Linked DNA regions of Callithrix jacchus. The protein of the gene in region 1 purifies or fractionates together with the protein of each later gene. This does not show direct contact. Links are inferred from orthologs where the notes say so. Each region holds a gene or a part of one and is shown on either strand. Other genes may lie near its edges.

Evidence for each region.
Region 2: the proteins of ESR2 (region 1) and COPG2 purify together in Homo sapiens (affinity purification with mass spectrometry; 3 studies listed by BioGRID and IntAct, with this or other methods). This does not show direct contact. The link is inferred for Callithrix jacchus from reciprocal best matches to the Homo sapiens genes ESR2 and COPG2.

The regions. Positions count from the first base shown.
Region 1 is NC_133509.1:98,920,607-98,924,418, reverse strand, and holds part of ESR2 (estrogen receptor beta), read left to right. Parts: intron 1-3,452; coding exon 3,453-3,591; intron 3,592-3,812.
Region 2 is NC_133512.1:116,631,237-116,635,048, forward strand, and holds part of COPG2 (coatomer subunit gamma-2), read left to right. Parts: intron 1-513; coding exon 514-589; intron 590-2,276; coding exon 2,277-2,369; intron 2,370-2,886; exon of another isoform or gene 2,887-2,957; intron 2,958-3,676; coding exon 3,677-3,763; intron 3,764-3,812. UniProt on the Homo sapiens protein: The coatomer is a cytosolic protein complex that binds to dilysine motifs and reversibly associates with Golgi non-clathrin-coated vesicles, which further mediate biosynthetic protein transport from the ER, via the Golgi up to the trans Golgi network.

The DNA of each region.
Region 1 (3,812 bases):
GAATTCTAAGACTCCTCTAAGTTCAGTACCAGACATGGTAGTGCAGAAAGAGCTGTCACCCAGCCGTTTCTATTCTTGACTCCCTTCTTTTCCCATGGACAGATGCATCCCATACTACCTTCCTTGCACAAACCCCATCCTATGTGTCCATGTCTGCTACAGACACCTGTTGGCCACCTTTCATGCCTAGAGGTGGTCTGGGAGGATGGACCCAGGGAACCCACCCAGGCTCTGAAATTGGGCTTGGGGTCATTTGGGCAAGAAATCCTAGGGTCCTGGAACCTGGAACAGGGTTAAAATGATGGGCTCAGCTAGGCGTGGTGGCTCACGCCTGTAATCCCAGCACTTTGAGAGGCCGAGGAGGACGGAATACAGGGTCAGCTGTCAAGACCAGTCTTACCAACATGGCAAAACCTTGTCTCTACTAAAAATACAAAAATTAGCCAGGCATGGTGGCAGATGCCTGTAATCCCAGCTACTTGAGAGGCTGAGGCAGGAGAGTCGATTGAACCCAGGAGGCGGAGGTTGTAGTGCCGAGATCACAACAGAGCAAGACTCTGTCTAAAATAATAATAACTAATTAATTAATTAAAAAGCTGGGCTCCACATTGACCTGTCCTTTGGCTGTGGACTCCTCACCTTGAGAGGAGGGGCATGTTTAGATAGGATGGGGCAGGGTGCAGTATGACTGGTTTGGAAGTGAAAGGTTTGTCAGATGTTAAATAGAATTTTATAAATTATTATTCCAATAGAGAATCAATATTATGTACATAAATAAGTATGTATGGACAAATAGAGTAAATCAGTTACATGAATCCTCAATGGGCCCATAAACTTGGAATGCCATTGAGTTAAAAGTGAGCTTAGTGACTCGTGAGTTATCATTTGGAACCTGCATTTTCCATCCTCTAAAATGATCACTTCTCCCAAGCCCATTTGTAATATATACCTGAAGGGCTGTATGATGCTAAAATTACCAGCCAATTATCATTTGACTTGGTGTTTCTGTGGAGGAGTGAATCTAGGATTCTAACCTAGAATGGCAACACCCCACAATCCCCCTGTGAAAGCTTCCCCATGCCCTTCTTTACAGTCCTTGAAGAAAAGAAGTCTCTTACAAGTTCTGAGCCACTGGGGACATTCCCATGGCCTGGAGAGCAGCAAGTGTACTGGGCAAATGTAAAGATGAGGAGGGGTGAGAAGCTGGGGGGAGAGCAGTTCCAGGTAAAGAGCCCGGGGAACTGAGGCCTACAGTGACAGTATCACTTGGGGACTTTTGTTGGCCTGGGCCCATTTCTTCTGAGCTTCCTGAGGATTTTTTGGTTTCTAGTTGTATTTTGTTTTGTCTAGCATCTTCACCTTTGCCAGAATTACTTTATTTTCTCTGCTTTTTCCCAGAGGAGACAGTGCTGATGCACTTTGCTCTAGTTTTTGCTTTAAATGTATTCCAAACACAGTTTTGCAGGACCACACATGGAGAGCAGTGGTGAAATTAGTTATTACTGAAAGCTGTGCCCCTTCTTTGTGCCATAAGAAATCTGAACTTTTCAGCTGCATTATTCCTTATTAAACCTGGTGTTTTTAAAAATTTTTGGGAAACATAGGCATAGTCTGAAGGCGTGATTTTTCCCCCCTCTCCTAGCTGGCATAGTCATTGTCCAAACAAACAAAAAAGTTATCATCTAGCCCTAATTTTGTTGAATATCTACAAGATTAAGAACCGTGATCTCTCTTGGGTAGGCTATTGTCTATCACTGTGGGTGAGATTGGGAAGGTGTATACACATTAGGAACCTAAGTTGAGCATAGCATGTGGATTTAGAAAGTATTTATCCATCTTTACATTCATAACACCATGAAATTCTCCTTTATGCAAATTGGCACTATAATTGTTCCAAGACTTGAACCACATGTGTTCTCTCTGCCATAGCATCCTCATCTGTAAAATAAGGATGGTAAGAGATCCTGCCTATAGGACATTCCCAGAGATAGGCATTATTATCCCCATTTTCCTATAAGAAAAACAAAGACTTAGTGGGAAATTAAGTGACCAGCTAGCAAGAGGCTGAGCTGGGATTCAAACCAGAGTCCATTTCATGCCAATGCTCTGTCTTTTGTTACCATATTTCTATTACATGGTCCTCTCCTTTTATCATGGCTTGTGGAGGAAGCCCCGGTGTTCTATGCTTTTTTTTAAAGTGCTCCCCTCCCCAGAGGTTACCTGTTTTCAATCAGTATTGTGACCAACATGTGTTATTAGGTTGTCAGGACCTGCTTCGTTATATTTGCTTTTTATTATTATGTTTTTGAGACAGAATCTTGCATCTCGCCCAGGCTGTAGTGCAGTGGCGCCATCTCGGCTCACTGCAATCTCTGCCTCCTGGGTTCAAGCAATTCTTCTGCCTCAGCCTCCCAAGTAGCTGGGATTACAGGCATGCACCACCATGCCTAGCTAATTTTTTTTGTATTGTCAGTAGAGACGAGGTTTCACTATGTTGGCCAGGATGGTCTTGATCTCCTAACCTCATGATCCTCCCGCCTTGGCCTCCCAAAGTGCTGGGATTACAGGCAGGAGCCACTGTACCTGGCCATATTTGCTCTTTATTTATTTATTTATTTTTTTGAGACAAGGTCTCACCCTGTTGCCCAGGCTGGAGTGTGGTGGTGTGATCTTGCTCACTGCAGTCTTGACCTCCCGGGCTCAAGCCATCCTCCCACTTTAGCCTTCAGAGTTTCTGGGACTTCAGTCACCTACCACCGTGACCAGGTAATTTTTTGTAGAGATGGGGTTTCCCCATGTTGGCCAGGCTGGTTTCCAAATCCTGGGTACAGGCAATCTACCTACCTTGGCCCCCCAAAGTCCTGGGATTACAGTTGTGCCTCACTGTGCCTGGGCTATGTTTGCTGTTTAGGATAGAATCACCCAGAAACAGTGCTTCTACCTAGAAGAAGGATCCTAACACTGGATGGGAGATTTTAAGCAATCAGAGAAATCCTTGCTGTTGAGTCCTTGGCTTTCTGTGCGGGCTGGCACTGCTGTCTGCATGCCTCCACCTGCAGCCTCCACCTACCGCATTCCCCAGCGCCTTCTGATCCCAGTCAAGGACTGGGTCAGACAGGCAGCTCCTCTGACTGGCAGCCAAACATTAACCTTCTCAGTAGCGCAGAGGAATGATCAGGACGCAGCTAACGACAGTTGGTTCTGAGCCCAGGTCATAGTGCTTGACAAACTCCAAATGATGTCTCTAGAAGGGGTCCAAGACTGGAAACCGGTTGCGCAGCTTAACTTAAAAGTTTTCTTCCTTTAATGAGCAGTTAATCACATCTATAAAATATTGATTCCCTAATGGTTTCTGTTTTCTTAGTGTTTTAACACTTGCCATTCTATCTCTACAGAAACAGGGAGCTGAGGAGGAGGGGTGGGGGTGTCTCACTACCTTTTACTTTCCCCAGGCTTTGTGGAGCTCAGCCTGTTGGACCAAGTGCGGCTCTTGGAGAGCTGCTGGTTGGAGGTGTTAATGGTGGGGCTGATGTGGCGCTCAATTGACCACCCCGGCAAGCTCATCTTTGCTCCAAATCTCATTCTGGACAGGTGAGAAAAAAACATATTGTGTTTCTTCTCCAACTTGTTTGAGTAAGGTGCTGAGTGAGTGGGAACAAAGTCCTAGGTGCTGCAATTAAAATCTCACACCTGCAGGGCAATTAGAGGATGATGGCATCATTAGATCCTTCAGTGGGTCAAGAACCAGAGAAGGAGAGAGAGAGGATCAAGGATTCAGGGTCCTGTGACTCATTTTTAATCTGAGGTGCATT
Region 2 (3,812 bases), on another chromosome or scaffold:
TGTTTTTGAAGCTCAGCAGAAAGATCTGAAGCCATTGATAATTTTAGAAAGCTACGCCAAGGAGAGGTACGTCATGAGTTAATTATTCTTGTTGATTTCTTTTCAAAAGTTGTGTCTAGTCTGATGGAATTTTAGGATTAGGGCATATGTCAGACTACTAGGGCTCTTTATTCCATTGTCCTTAGTTTATTTTTTATGCCAGTTATCAGTATCTAAAATTATGGGGAAGGGGTTGTTTTGTTTATGTGATAATCTTTCTTCCTCCTAGAATGTAAGTTCCATGAAGGCAAAGGACTTTCGCCTTTTGCTAATTTTGCTCATTGCTATATTGTTGAGTTAGAACAGTCTTCTACACAGTAGTCTTAGCACGTATACAAAGAATATGCTCCCTAAATATTTGTTGAATCAGTAGCTGCATTAAGATAATTATGGGACAATTGGAAATTGGCTAGGGGTGAACTCCGTGGCAGAGATTTTAATTGATCTTATGTTAACCAATTTGATTTTTCTTAGTCTGACTAAGGACATGACTGGAAAAGAAGATGTATACCGAGGCCCAGCCATCAGGGCTCTCTGCAGAATCACTGATGTAAGTTCTCTGTTTCACTGAGTTATCAAATGGAACACTCTGCTTATCTGTGAGTGGCCATGTAGACTGAGTAGGATTTCCTAGATTGACTTTGTGAATCTTCAGTATAAGAGAAACATGATCACCAGAAAGGATTTTGTGGCTCCGGGCTTTCTTTTTTCTTCAGATTTTTTTCCTTTCATGTATTTATGTTAGTCCATTTTCTCACTTTATTTGCCCTCTTGAACTGTTGTGGTGAGGGTACGTTGCTTGCAGGAAACAAAAACCCATTCAAATTTATCTTAAAAGAAAAAGCTTTATTATAGGACACAAATCTCTCAGAATTTGAGGTAAAGCTTACAACTAGACCAGTGCAAGAAATTGGGCAGCTTTAAGAATTCAACAGCAAATTTTTTTTTCTTTTTTTGAGTCGAAGTCTTGCTCTTTTGCCCAGGCTGGAGTGCAGTGATGCAATCTTGGCTCACTGCAACCTCCGCCTCCCAGGTTCAAGTGATTCTCCTGCCTCAGCCTTCCAAGTACTGGGATTACAGGCACCCACACCACACCTGGCTAATTTTTGTATTTTTAGTAGAGATGGGGTTTCACTATATTGGCCAGGCCATTTACTGTGGTGATCCATCATGTATGAGACACAGGCCCTCTCGTACAAATATTTAAGAGTGATAATCTGACTAGCCAGCAATAGGCCAGTAGCTTGTATCCACTTGTGTCTGAGTCAGGTGTTTAATGTTGATCCAGTTCATTGTATCTGGAGAGATGAGGTCATGTAATATGTTAGGCTGTCTCTTCTCTTTCTGAAAACTCTGAGAAGGAAGCGCAGGCCAGGCATTACCAAGCAAATTGAGTAATAACTATATACTCATGCTTGGTTATATTTTAGGTGTATGTTTGTAACCTTCTCAAGTTTTAAAAGTTGAGCAGGACCACATTATACATTTGGTAAATCTGGATCTTAAAAGGAGTAATAGAAATGCTTTAATATTTTTTGCTGCACTGTTGTTTTCTTGTGGTTGTTTTTATTTATTTTTAGCATTAAATTGGTAGCAGCATGAGACTTGACCATGCTAGTGCTAGCAATAAAACTCTTTTTTTCATTTGAATATTGCTCTTAGTCTTTTTACTCATCTTTGTCGCCACCACCTCCCCAGTGCTTTTTCCCATTTAAAAAGAACAGTATTTCCAGAGGATTTCACGCTGAGGGCTCACTATAGTAATATACTATACATTTAATTCTTTATGTATCTAAGATAATCAGATATTACCTTTGATTTCTAGGACTCTGGGATCTATGTGTAATATGTGCCCTTCACATAGAGGAATCTTCATAACTTCAAAAGCAGGCTCCATCTGCCTATAGGAATTTCTTTATAACATACCTGATTGGTTCAGCCTCTACTTGTGTATTTCTTCCAAACAGAGATTCTGCATTTTGAGACAGTTTATTTCATCATTGAACAGTTACTCTTCTTTACATATAATCTTAAATATTCTTTCCTAAAGCTTCAACTTAGTTGTTTCGGTTCTACCCTTTGGGATATTATTACTACATTATCCTTTTAGTGCATTCTAAATGAAATTGCACAGAAACAAATACATGATTAGTTTTTGAAAATTATTTTGAAGCATTAATAGTAATTTGCATAAAAATGTTTTTCCTCAACAATTTTTTCTTTTTGAATGTTATTAGGGAACAATGTTGCAAGCCATCGAAAGATATATGAAGCAGGCCATTGTGGATAAAGTTTCCAGTGTATCCAGTTCAGCACTGGTATCTTCCCTAGTAAGTGAGCTAGCAGCTTCCTAGTTCTTATGGATGGTACAGTTTCTAGTTGCAAAAATAAAGTATCTCTATGATTCTCTCACAAATGAGACAGTTAAAAATATGTATACACCTCTATTACTTTATCCAAGTTTGTTTTATCTAGAGAAGGGGTTCCCACCCCAGGGCTTCAGCCAGTCCTGTTCAGTGGCCTGTTAGGAACTGGGCTGTACAGCAGGAGGTGAGCGGCAGGCAAGTGAGCATTAATTACTGCCTGAGCTCTGCCCCCATCAGATCAGCAGCAGCATTAGATTCTCATAGGAGTGCAAGCTCTATTGTGAGCTGTGCATGTGAGGGATCTAGAATGCCAACTTCATATGAGAATGTAACCGATGCCTGATGATCTGAGGTGGAATGGTTTCATCCCAAAACTATCCCTCCTCCCTCTGCCAGTGGAAAAATTGTCTTTCATAAAACCAATCCCTGGTACTAAAAAGGTTGGAGGTTGCTGATCTAGAGGATCATTGAAGAATTAAAAACATAAAATTGTCATATGTTTGAAAGGTTTTAGAAATTTGAAAGTTATGTTGTACACATAATAAAAGCGGGGTAAGTGTGGGGTATGGGACAGGGAAGAAACCTAGGGCCCTTTTATTTAAAATCTTCTTTATGACTTGCCTTTATGACTTCCACTACTTGTCTCTTTGTCCTCTGCTTTTTCTGGTGCCCTTTGTCCTCTGCTTTTTCTGGTGCCCTTTGTCTATGTGTATCCTTCAAAATTTCCTGCCCCACCTCTGAATTTTCTGCGAGGAAGTAGTCTTTTCTTTAGTAATTTTTTTCTTTCAGTTTTTCAACAGAACACAGTTTATACATTAAAACCTATCACATTGCATTTGATTAATGTCAGTTACATATGTGTGAATGTGTAAGACATCTAAATCACAAGAGTTTCTGATTCTGGAAGATAATTGGTTGAGTTTCATAGCAGAGAATATATTAATACTCTTTTTCTTTCTTCCAGGGGAGTTTCCTAGAAGTAAAGCTTGTAATGATAACGTTATTTAAGCACCATCCTCATCCTGTTCTTCCTCTTTCATTACTTCCTTTTACACACCTCTATATACTCACCTTTGTAAAGGGTATAGAAGAAAATACTTATGATTTATCAGTTGCCCTAGCAATAGAGACACAAAATATACTTATAAGAGCTACATAGTTTTCTTTCTCCTGGGAAATGTCTGTTACTGATTTTTCAAAAAAACTAACTCATGTTTCTAAGTTTCTAGTGACCATGCATTATTTATTTTCATTTTTTTCCCTGTATTTAGCACATGATGAAGATAAGCTATGATGTGGTTAAGCGCTGGATCAATGAAGCCCAAGAAGCTGCATCGAGTGATAATATTATGGTCCAGGTACTGTCATTTAATCATATTAGCTTATGTCTCAGGATCAGCATTCTTT